Lepisosteus oculatus: one gene and its partners. The protein of the gene in region 2 interacts with the protein of the main gene of each other region in a pairwise test. Links are inferred from orthologs where the notes say so. Each region holds a gene or a part of one and is shown on either strand. Other genes may lie near its edges. The genes, in order: sirt6, chd3 and serbp1a.

Region 1 (3,750 bases), on a different chromosome or scaffold from region 2:
AGCTCCTGCCCGAGAGGACAGCGCGCCATCAGCGTTCGCTCGACTGCGTCCGCCCGCCAGCCTCGCCCCCAGCGACCCGGGCGCGGGCCTCGCGCTCCGCCAACGCTCGCCGGGGGGGCCGATGAGGCAGTGACCGGGCCCCCCCTGCGTGTGCACCAGGCACACGGCCCCACACGCGACCGGCACACACGCCAGCGCCCGGGAAACGGTCCCCGGCGTCACACCCCCCTCTCCGCACCCTGCTGGCCCAAAAGTAGGCTCTCCTCAAACTTAATAAAAAAAAATACACTCTTGGAAAATACCCTTTCTGCACAACAAGACACACCTCAAGAATTTAAGACATGAAAACGTTAAGTACATCTTTTTCTATAGCCTTTTTATACAAGAATGACTCCATGTGTCTGTTGCCATCTGTGTGTCTAACTCAGACCCAGACTGACCTGCATCTGTCTCCATGGCAACCCTAGAGCCAGCCAGAACAGCAGGGGCGCCACCATGGGGAACTGCCTCCCCCTGGTGGTTATAAAGCAGCACAGCAGCTAAGGGACCCACTGGCGGCTACCCTTCCTCTTAATTGAACGAATAATAATAATACAGAGATGAACTGTGCAAACATTAAGGGGTACAAAGAGGGATGGGAGACTGGGGTACAAAACAACAAAACGATAAACACCTTGGAAATTTCTCCACGATGCCCGAGACGTTTCCCCCACGGCTCCGGCAGCCGAGGTCCCGACTCTCTGGGCTCATTAAAAATCCCAGGGCCCTTAACAATCATGGCCTCCTAATAACCCCCCTCTCTGAACTGGCTTCATTACTCTCCTCCCCACTGAGAGCTGATGTGTGGGGAGCGTTCTGGCGCACTATGGCTGCCGTCGCATCATCCAGGTGGGGCTGCACATTGGTGGTGCTGGAGGGGATCCCCATTACCTGTAAAGTGCTTTGAGTGGAGTGTCCGGAAAAGCGCTATATAAGTGTGAGGAATTATTATTATTATTATTATTATTGTGTTAACTGGCTCTTCACAGTATCTGCAGACACATCTACTCATCCTGGCTGCTTCCCTGCTGGCTACACGCTTCAGCAGTCAAAGGACCCGTCAGCACAGCAGAGCCGGGCCGGTACAGAACACCTCCCTGGACCCGTCAGCACCACAGAGCCGGGCCGGTACAGAACACCTCCCTGGACCCATCAGCACCACAGAGCCAGACCTGTACAGAACACCTCCCTGGACCTGTCAGCACCACAGAGCCGGGCCGGTACAGAACACCTCCCTGGACCCGTCAGCACCACAGAGCCGGGCCGGTACAGAACACCTCCCGGGACCCGTCAGCACAGCAGAGCAGGGCCGGTACAGAACACCTCCCTGGACCTGTCAGCACCACAGAGCCGGGCCGGTACAGAACACCTCCCTGGACCTGTCAGCACCACAGAGCCGGGTCAGTACAGAACATCTCCCTGCACCCGCTGGGCCGGTACAGAACCTCAGCATGGTGTCCGGCAGGTGGGTGCGTACCTGAAGTCCGGGATGCCGCAGGAGGTGCTGATCCCAGCACCAGAGTGGACCACCATGTATCGGGACTCGCGGACCAGCCGGGCCAGCTCCCGAACCTTCTCCTGCAGCTCCTCCTGGCTGTCAAACACCTGCACGCAAGGAGAGGGGGAGACTCAGACTCACAGGAACAGCCTGGGACACAGCGGGACCTGTGCCCTCAGAACCGCAGCGCCCAACCCGAACCGGAACCGGAACCGGAACCCCAGCCTCGCCCCCGAGGGTTAAAAGCTTTTCCCCCCAGAACTTGGTACGTGTTTCAGGTTAATGCTGTTAATACTAGCGCTACAGCTGCTGTATAACACATCTCAGTTTTTAACTCCAGATACTGGTGAAGTATCCCAGGGATGTCCAGCCCTGCTCTAACAGAACATCTCTCCAGCCGCCGGGCTGCACAGAACCGCCGCCTGTCAGTCAGTGCAGGAGCTCACACGGCCGCTGTCCAGTAACACGCCGGACACCGGCGCTTTGTTGCTTCCGCCGGCGCTGTGCTCACAGGTAAACAAGTCCCTCCAGTTCTCCGCTACAGGAAAGTCCGAGGCTGCGGCCTAGCTTTCGGGCTCTTACCTCCGGGAGACCGCAGATGCCTTTGTCCGGATAGGGAGAGAGTCCCGCCGCGTAGTTAACAGACATGGCCCTGCGCCCTGTAGCTATGGGACTGCGGCTCTAAACAGTCACGTATCTTTTTTTTGTGTGCTTAAAATCATAAACTTAATGCTCTGGTTGTGACTATTGTTAACAGTTCGCGCTAGCACATCAATACAACACCCGCCCCCCTCGTCCCTACGTCATCGGGGCGTCGCCGACGTAAGCACGCATCGGGGGGCGTGTCCATCAGGGGGAGGGGCCAAGAGGCAGGAGACGCTCCCCTGTTCCCGACAGCAGCCGAAACCCCGGTTTAACTTTCCCCTTGACTGAGGTTTCGGAAAAGCGATCAAAATATTTTATTCTGTATTTTGTTTAAATTGATTGTATACATACGCCTACTTTATAAGAAGTTACTACTTATAATTTTACTACTTTAACTACTCTTAGTTCTATTCATTATAATAATACACTGTTTGAGTACACCTGTAGACCTGTATTGCTAATCAATAGTAGCGAATAGACCAGAGGATCTCAACCAGCTGTTTTTCAAAGGAAGACAGGGCGGCTTGATCCACACTTTGTACCAAGTACGACCTCCTGGTGGTAGTTCTCACGCAGTTCTGTTCGCCGGGATGTGTTTTTGTGTCTTTCTAAGATCTTTTTGTCAACTGACACGAAGAGAGATGCTCTCTGTGCTCATATGGGGTCTCGAAGTCACGCCAGGCACTGGACCCGCCCCCTCAGGCTCCGCCCCCTCTTGCAGCTGATTGGTCGAATCAGGAGCGAGACAGGCGAGCCCAGCGAGCTCGAGCCCGGCTCGAGTCTCCCCTCTCCTCAGCCGTCAGCGAGAGGTGGCGCGCGACGCAGGTGCGTACAGTACGACTCTTGAATTTAGTTTAAATTTACTAACATTACTACAACTGTATTTCGCGTCTTGTGTTGTCTAGTGCCTAGGAATGTGAGTACTCCGCACATACTGTTCCCAGCACGGTTAACTTTGTAAAGTATTTTTGTAGAAATTAATTCCTAAGGCACGTATTACACCAGACGTGTTCTTATACCACATCTAACAGTGCTCGATTCTTCTGTGAATTAAAAAAACAAAAGGCAGTTATTTTTGTAAGAAAGCCTTTGTATTTCCCATAAAGTTTGAGTTGTTTTCACCCTTAAGTGTCAGAAAGTATATCTACAACGAGATTAAAAAAAGTCTATTGGTCTATTGACTATACAGTTAAACCATACAGTATGTGTTTCTTTCTGTTTTTCCTTTAGGATCTGAGAGTGGTTGAGCTACAGAGCCTACAGGATGAAGAGTCTTAAGGCCAAGTTTAAAAAGAATGAAGTAAGAGAGACACACACTCACAATGTCACACACACAGACATAGACAACAACCGACACAGTCACACACAGACAGACATGCACATACACAATAACCAATAAAGACAGACAGTCACACACGTACATACATAGACAATAACCAACCCAGTCACATAAATACACATATGTACACGAACTGATATAACTGACACTGAGACACACAGTCACACACATACACGCACATAGACAATAACCAACATAGTCGGACTCACACATACACACACAGATAGAC
Region 2 (3,750 bases):
ATATTATGTCAAAACTTAGTCCCACAAACATCCCGGTCCTGCGGATTGAGAGAAGTAAAAAACATGCCATTCGTACAACACGGAAACATAAAACTAAAAAAAAACCAAAAGAATAAATTAAATCAGTTTCCGGCTTCACACAAAAAGCATTACAGTTAAGCTCAACCAACGAACCGGTCTTTCATTTTAGCTCCGCTTACCTACGTTTAACTGAAATGAACGGAGGATAAATTCACCGAGTTGAAACTCGAAACACCTCAACTATTTTAAGAGCAGCATTTTTTTCTGAAGTGTTTGAACAATGAATAATAAACAAATTCCTTTAGTGGGTGTTCTCCCATACTCACAAAAACTCTCCTGGGTCTTTTTTTTCTCAGCGTTGACACGACTGTAGTTTTTACCGCGCTACAGAAGGGCGCCAATCGTGTTTCGTCTTTTGCCTGTTAATTCGTATTTTCCCCCCTTTTGTTTTACAGCCACGTTTTTCCATCGTGTACGTGATGTGCCAATCTCTGTCGTGTTTACAAGGCTTTCGGAGGCTGCTGAAATTTACTGGCCGCAGGCGACGCAATGGAGCTCGCGACTAGGGGGGGAGGGGTAGACACTTCTCTCACGCCGAAGTACAGAGCGGAGCCAGAGGGGTTGGGTGTCTACTCAAACCCGCAGGCTTTCAGCGGCCCGCCGCGCTCAGTTGGTGTAACTAGGCGATGAGACGCCACAGTTTATATCCGCCACCTGCGGCCAGCCAGACACAAAGTTACAGCTGGGTCAGGATGCAGGGGTTATCGGGGGACACGGACTGTGTCTCGCCAAACCTGTTCTCTTTTTCTATTGGGGGGCAATATTTGAAAGATGGTAGGCGAACCTCGCCCTAATGACACGGTAGTTGTCTCCCTGTTTCTGTCTGCCGAATGCAAAAGGTTTCTGGTTGTTTTCTACTGTTTTTTCTTGAGGTAACGTTATCAAATACTCTTTTTTAAAAAAAGCCTACATCTAAAGATCCTGGTACACAAATATGCTTGTGAAACTACATTTTTACAAGTTATTTATATTCATATAACTTGTTTTTTAGTGGCAGAACCCACCCCAGCGTTATCGAAATTGAATATCACTTGTGTATATAAATAAAGATTTGAATTCACTGTTTTTTTAACTGTATGTACTATTTACTGTTTTTAATAATTTAATTTAATATTACAATATATAAAGGTCATATTAAACGTACGTATAGCCTATATACATCTAGGTATTTTCAATACATTAAATATGCGAAATTAACTCATTTCATAGTTTTGGTTACTTCCGAATGTATTCATTCAATCGACACCGACATTAATAGCAATATAACTGCAGATTTTAAGAAATATGGGGCTGTTTCTCATTTTATGAACTTTAAACATCTCGAAGGTTCGGGGGGTGAAGCAGACAGGTCTTTTATGTGTTTATGCATCGCTGTTCTCGGGTTTCTCTCTCTCCTGTAGAGAAAGAAACCATCTGATCTGTATAATTGGGGGTCGCTTGGGAGATCCCCCACACAGACAGCACTGGAAGGAAAAACACTATCTCGCAGTGTGGTTTGTGTACGCTCTCACCCGCAACAGTTACAGACAGCGGGGAGGGTCAGCGGCGTGTCAGTGACTCTCACACTCGGCACACACGCACCAACACCCTCTTTCATGAATCCGGTCACTCCAGAATCCTCCTCCCTCCAAAATAAAACATTTTTTTTCTACATTTACCAACAAAAACAACAAAATAGGAAGGTACAGACGTGTAGGTCACGGCGCCACAGCGGGTGTCAATCGCGACAACAATGATAAGATATTCATACGTACTTCATTGATAAGATATGTACATATGTATTACACGGGGAGACAGGGAAATGGAAAGTGTGCGTCTTCTACGGGGTTGTAGTGTGGTGGTGTGTGTGTTGTGGGGGGCTCTCAAAACTAGGTAGCTATGCGAAAGAATCTTTTTTTTTAAAAAAAGCTTCAAGCTTCGTCGATTCGGCACAGTACTTTGGTTAAAGTTGCGCTTTAACTCTTTAGACTTCCTAAAGCAGTTTCAGTGCTATCTCATCACGGTGTGGAACAGGTAATGAACAGTATTAAAATGGGATTTATTTGCATTCCGATTATTATTCTTATGATTGTTTAAGGTTGTTCCTATGCGCGCTCCCGTGTCTAGGCAGCCCGTACTGTACCTGGCGCGGCTACTGCTGCAGTTTCTCTAGGCGCCGCCGGCGAATATATGTCGCTTGTGTTCTCGTCCAGCGCTCCGTCTTCCCCGTCTTCTTCTTCATCGAAATCTCCACCCTCGGAGTTAACCGCCATGCCCTCATCTTCCTCACAGCCTCGAAGAGGAGAGGACATTTTTCCTGTTGCCGGCCCAGTGTATAGGAAATAAAAAAGGTCTTCTCCCGGAATTATGAAATTTATTTAATATTCAAATCGGCCAAAAAAAATGGGGGGCGTTTTGGAATATTTTACACACAAGGCAGAGAAACAAAGATGGCCGCCCTTATATTTATTTTTTAACAACCCCCCCAATAAGAAAAAAAAATCCCCTTACATAAAAAATGGCTGACTATATTATTTCAAAACGCCCCCCCTCCTCTCACTCGCTCTCTCTCTCTCCACTCTCCCCTCCCTCCATTCTGAAAAAAAAACATACACACATTGTCAAATAAAGGGTGTATTCGTTGCACGTAAATCACATTATCGCGTTGTTTTTTTCATGTGTATTAGCGCTGGTTACTGTCCTTTGTTTCGAGAGCATTCTTATAACCCTCACTCCCCGCACTGCAGAAAGCGATGCGAAATCTAACAAATATGGCTCCCTTCATATCTTTAAAGGCCCCCACCCCGAAATAAAATGATTTAGGAAGAGGGAGCTGGAGGCTGGGGAGAGAGAGAGAGAGAGGGGGGGTTATTCGTGCTTACATCAGCTCGCTATATTAAAATGCAACTTCTACATTTCTGCGCCGAAAAGAACAAAAAACACCCAAAGCCAATTTAGCGCGATTTACAGGCTTAAAACCGAAGTTCAGAGTTATCTTCAAATGCAGAACAGAAATATACTTGCAGCGTATGAAAAGTGAAGCCACTTTTTTTGTTCAAATCAAGCACCGAGATGTAAAATATCCGATGACTAAATTCCTAGACGTTTGTAGGTTGTTAGTATTAATAATAATGATAGTCGTGAAACTGTGAAAACCTTTAGGTTATAGAGGACGTATTTGTTTTTAACATACACAGGGGTAATTAACGCGTATATATATTTTAATCAAACGTGCGGCGAGCAGAAAACGACGAAATTGCCTTATTTTATTACGCGTGATGCCTCCGCCGGACTTTTAACTACAATTATTCTGCAGTTCGACTTGTTGTAAAAGCGCTTTGGGATGCTGCTCAACACGACACGTAGACATGGGTGGCCGATTTATTGATGTGATTGAGACGAGCACAGGATGAAGGAGGTGGTGTCTGTAACCATTAAATACAGAAGGCGCCTAAGAGGAAATGAAATACTTAAAACAACTGAAGAAATAGCCATTGAGGGAATTATAATAACTAGTTACATATTTTGTTTTTATTAAAGAATGCCTGGACTCCTGTAAATATATAGCTGTGTTAATGAACTACACCAATATATTTTACACAATTATGGTATCAAATGTAAGCTGGATGAAGGAATAGGGGAAATTAATAATAATACAACTTAAACAGTGAACACACTAATACCTCATTT
Region 3 (3,750 bases), on a different chromosome or scaffold from region 2:
CTAAAAAACAAAGAGCTTTTGAACATTGAGGAACACATTTTTGTGTTGTAACTGATGTGCTTTTTTTTTAATGTAGGGGCTGATGGCTTGGCATATCTACATTTTTTCTGCAAAGTCTGGGAAAACTGAAATCATTTCTCTCCCCCCCAAAAAAACCACTAGCCCCCAACTCAGCCCATAAACATCCCCTTCCACAGCTTCCTAACCCTTATACTGTTCGTAAGCTTACTTCTCCACAGAGAACTCTCCACCTTCGGGCTTTTCTTCAGCAGGCTTGTCAAAGCGGCGGTCGCGTGGGGGCCTCCTGTCTGGCCTCCTGTCGCCGGGCCTGCCCTCTCCCTGACCCCCCTGCTGCTGAGAGCCCTGCTGCTGGGACTGCTGCCCCTGGTGTGGGGACTGCTGGTCAGGCCTACGGCCAACTCTCCTGATACCTGAAATAGAAAGCCAGCTGGTGAGTTAGGCCTGAAAAATCTAATCCTTCATCCGTGAACAGGGAAGCACGATTCAGATTCAACTCGCAACGTGTTATTGGTCCTGTCCAATTTAAAAGAAATAAATTAGATTACTGAACTCAATTACAGCTTTGGAATATAAAAGTATACGTGGATTTCAAACTGGACAACCGCTAAAACGAAGAAATTAACTCAACCTGTTATAATTTTAATTCCTAAAGGACATAATGCTAGTTTGCTGTGAAGTTAAGAAAGATGTTAGAAGACTTAAAATGTTTTTTTTTTATAATGCACCCCCAACTTAATTAGCAGGTGATTTATGTATTTTACACTCCTGAGTATTTTTCGAATGCGTCATAAGCTAATTAGCAGAAACCAGGTTTAACAAGCGAGTTTGTACATACCAAATCAAAAAGCATGTGTTAACTCCTGTATGTAGTATGAACTGAATAATGATAATGCTGACTTACAGCATGAGTGGCGACTGGAGCTGGAAAGGTGTGAAACCACTTCACTAAGTGAAAAAAACCCACAATATTGGGTTCTCAAGAGGTAAGTTACAACTTTTGCTACTAGATGGAGATCTAGTTCAATATACCAAGAGAAATCATTTGGTCAAAAGGTTCCCAATTCTAAGAGCCAGTGCATCTGTACCCCACCCCCCTCCAAAAAACAGCCCTCAGGCAGAACACCTCCATATAGCCTAACCCGACAGCTGCTGGCACATTTGGATGTGCACCTGTTGGGGACGCCTCTTCTGTATGGGACCAAACTGGACTTTTTATCTAAATTAAGCCCTTTTACTGAATTGGTAAACGCCCACTTTCGTTTTAAAACGATTACAAAGGATGCGTCTATTTTTAGAAAAAAAATCAAGCGCCCAGTTCCAGGTTTAGTCGAAATAAAAACGAGTCCATTTTGAATTTTGTTGGGTGCATCCCAAGAAAGGTCCGCAAGCTCGTGTTTGGGGGGGAAAAAAAAACAATTTTCGAGGTACTAGAATAAAGCCCTAGCGCGGTTCCTGTTTGCCCGATACAGGCGTGAAGTCGACATCATGCAAACAAAGCACGTGAGAGCTGTTCCGAGATGTACATGCCGCTGGACTAAAATCTAAAAGGAATGCATGCAAACGAACGAGCCCGTTTGCGTCACATGCAGAGGACAAAACTGATGAAGCCCAACGACGCCGAGGGGGTCAAACGATTGTTTAAAAATTCCCTCGCTAGCTCCCAGCACCACGCCTTCCACGGCGAGCGACGACTCGCGAAGATCGACTTCCGAGTGCTGTGACAGCTCGACAGCCTTCCCCAAACTTCCACCACGAGGTTGGCGACCTGACTGCTGCAGCGCCAGGCCTCTGCGAGAGAGCCTTGCTGTAGCCGGCGTTGGAACTGCTTTAATCAGACCGAAACACTTCAGCAACCTCCCCGCTCTGCAGTATCTTGCAGGCCTGGTACTAGGAAACGCATTTTAAAGAATTAACCGTATCTAGACCCCCTTCAGCACCGGATAAAGCATGCGCAGGTACCACCGGGAGACTACAGGAAGAATGCATTTTCGAGTCCCCAAAGGCGTACATTTTTAGCTTGGCCGAGCGTGTATAAGGCACTGAACTACTGTCTGACTGGCTTAGAATAGGAACCATGTTGTTGACCTCATGGGGGGTTTACGCAGTAACATTAACACAACCCCCTTCCATGTTCTGAAATACGCAGTCCACTGACCAGAGAAAGGGGGAAAAAAGTCACCTTCTTTTTTGAGAGGCACAGGAGCCTGTGTCTCTTCCTTCTTGTCAGGGAGCGGGTTCTTTCTGTCCTTCTGCGACTCTTTTTTCGGCTGCTTAGCGGCTTGAGCAGCAGTCTTGGCGGTAGCAGTGGCGGCCCCGTCCTTCTTCTTGTTCTCGGCCGCTTTTAACACCTCAAAGGGGTCGCTCTCGTCATCAAATAGCTGGTCGAACCGATTAGTTACGACGCAGCCGAAGCCTTCTTGCAGGTGTCCGGGCATGATGGCGCCCCTTCAGCGGGATTCTCCTCCGATTCTACGAGGCTTGAAGCGAACAGCTCGCTTGATGCTGCCACAAGATGGCCGGGAAAGAGACCGTCTTCTCTTCCGGCGCGATAGACATCCGGGACTTCAAGCTCGCTGCCACATGGAGAATGTAGTTTTTAATAGAGGCAGGGCTCTAGAAACATATTGCAGGAGCTGCAGTGAAAGACTACAAGTCCCGGAAAGCATCTGCAGCTAAAGTGCTTGTTTCTGTTCTTGAAAAACGTCTGCTTGGGAACTGTAACTAGTAGCGCTCGGCATGGCATGCTGTTGGTAAACTGAAAGGGAACGTGCACGCTTGTGTCAGTGTGGTTTCATTTAATTTTTCTTGGTCTGCAGATGCTCAGAATTGTCAGTCTAATCACTGAAAGCTTTCATTCACTTTCATTTCATTCACATGATCAATACTAGCATTAGAGGCTGATGCTATGTAATTTGATTTTAATGGTATCATGCATTTCAAACAGTGGAGTACACATTTTGAACAGCGCCTAAGGAGTGTTGCTTTGTAGCAAGTGAAAGCTTTATTGAAAACATGGTGGCGCAGGCCTCTCGTTCACAACCAGTGTGCTTTAACATTTTCTCACCGTAACATTTAATAAAAATATTTTACTTAAGCATTTAAAAGCGTTAGCGTTTCAACGAGAATTGCTCTTTATAACAATTGCCTGAAGCACCATCTAATGCATTTTTAAATAGGGGTCTTGAATGGAATATAGTGGGAGATTATGGTTGTTATTTCCAAGCTTTTTGAAATTGTGAAGTTAGAAAAGGAGTATAACAGTAATGTGCTATGAGGCCATTCTTTGATAGCACAGCCATCCAGCGTGACAATTTTTGCATTTATGTGCCTGGTTTAAATTGAGTCTGCCTGCATTTAGTCAGCTAGTGCATTTACCATTGACTGATTTCTCTAATTTTTCTAATTCCAAAATTTGAAAATAACGCTATTTTGCTTTTTATGTTTTACTCTTTATCTCTAAATGAAATTGTATTTTCAATTATGCTGGCTTTTGCAGTATATGCAGTACCAACAGTATCATAATAAGCACAGACAGCGAGTAGTCCTATGAATTTGCATTACCTCTAGCTATGGTTATATGAACTAATACAGCAGCTGATTTGATTAAATGATCGTTTTTTTTAAGTACAAGAGGATCTGAATAAAACAAAATGGCAAAGAACCATCTTGTAAGGTGGCTGTCTGTGACCTAATTGTTGACATCTGATCTGATCAACCATCCCCCATTCA

Evidence for each region.
Region 1: the proteins of chd3 (region 2) and sirt6 interact in a two-hybrid assay, tested with the Homo sapiens proteins (2 studies listed by BioGRID and IntAct). The link is inferred for Lepisosteus oculatus from reciprocal best matches to the Homo sapiens genes CHD3 and SIRT6.
Region 3: the proteins of chd3 (region 2) and serbp1a interact in binary tests that used the Homo sapiens proteins (3 or more experiments, as listed by UniProt). The link is inferred for Lepisosteus oculatus from reciprocal best matches to the Homo sapiens genes CHD3 and SERBP1.

The regions. Positions count from the first base shown.
Region 1 is NC_090724.1:9,168,465-9,172,214, forward strand, and holds the start of sirt6 (NAD-dependent protein deacylase sirtuin-6), read right to left. Parts: upstream 2,464-3,750; 5' UTR 2,186-2,463; coding exon 2,120-2,185; intron 1,645-2,119; coding exon 1,517-1,644; intron 1-1,516. UniProt on the Homo sapiens protein: NAD-dependent protein deacetylase, deacylase and mono-ADP-ribosyltransferase that plays an essential role in DNA damage repair, telomere maintenance, metabolic homeostasis, inflammation, tumorigenesis and aging.
Region 2 is NC_090698.1:7,525,346-7,529,095, reverse strand, and holds the start of chd3 (chromodomain-helicase-DNA-binding protein 3), read right to left. Parts: upstream 2,832-3,750; 5' UTR 2,373-2,831; coding exon 2,204-2,372; intron 1-2,203.
Region 3 is NC_090704.1:13,441,665-13,445,414, reverse strand, and holds the start of serbp1a (SERPINE1 mRNA-binding protein 1), read right to left. Parts: upstream 2,561-3,750; 5' UTR 2,457-2,560; coding exon 2,177-2,456; intron 432-2,176; coding exon 230-431; intron 1-229. UniProt on the Homo sapiens protein: Ribosome-binding protein that promotes ribosome hibernation, a process during which ribosomes are stabilized in an inactive state and preserved from proteasomal degradation.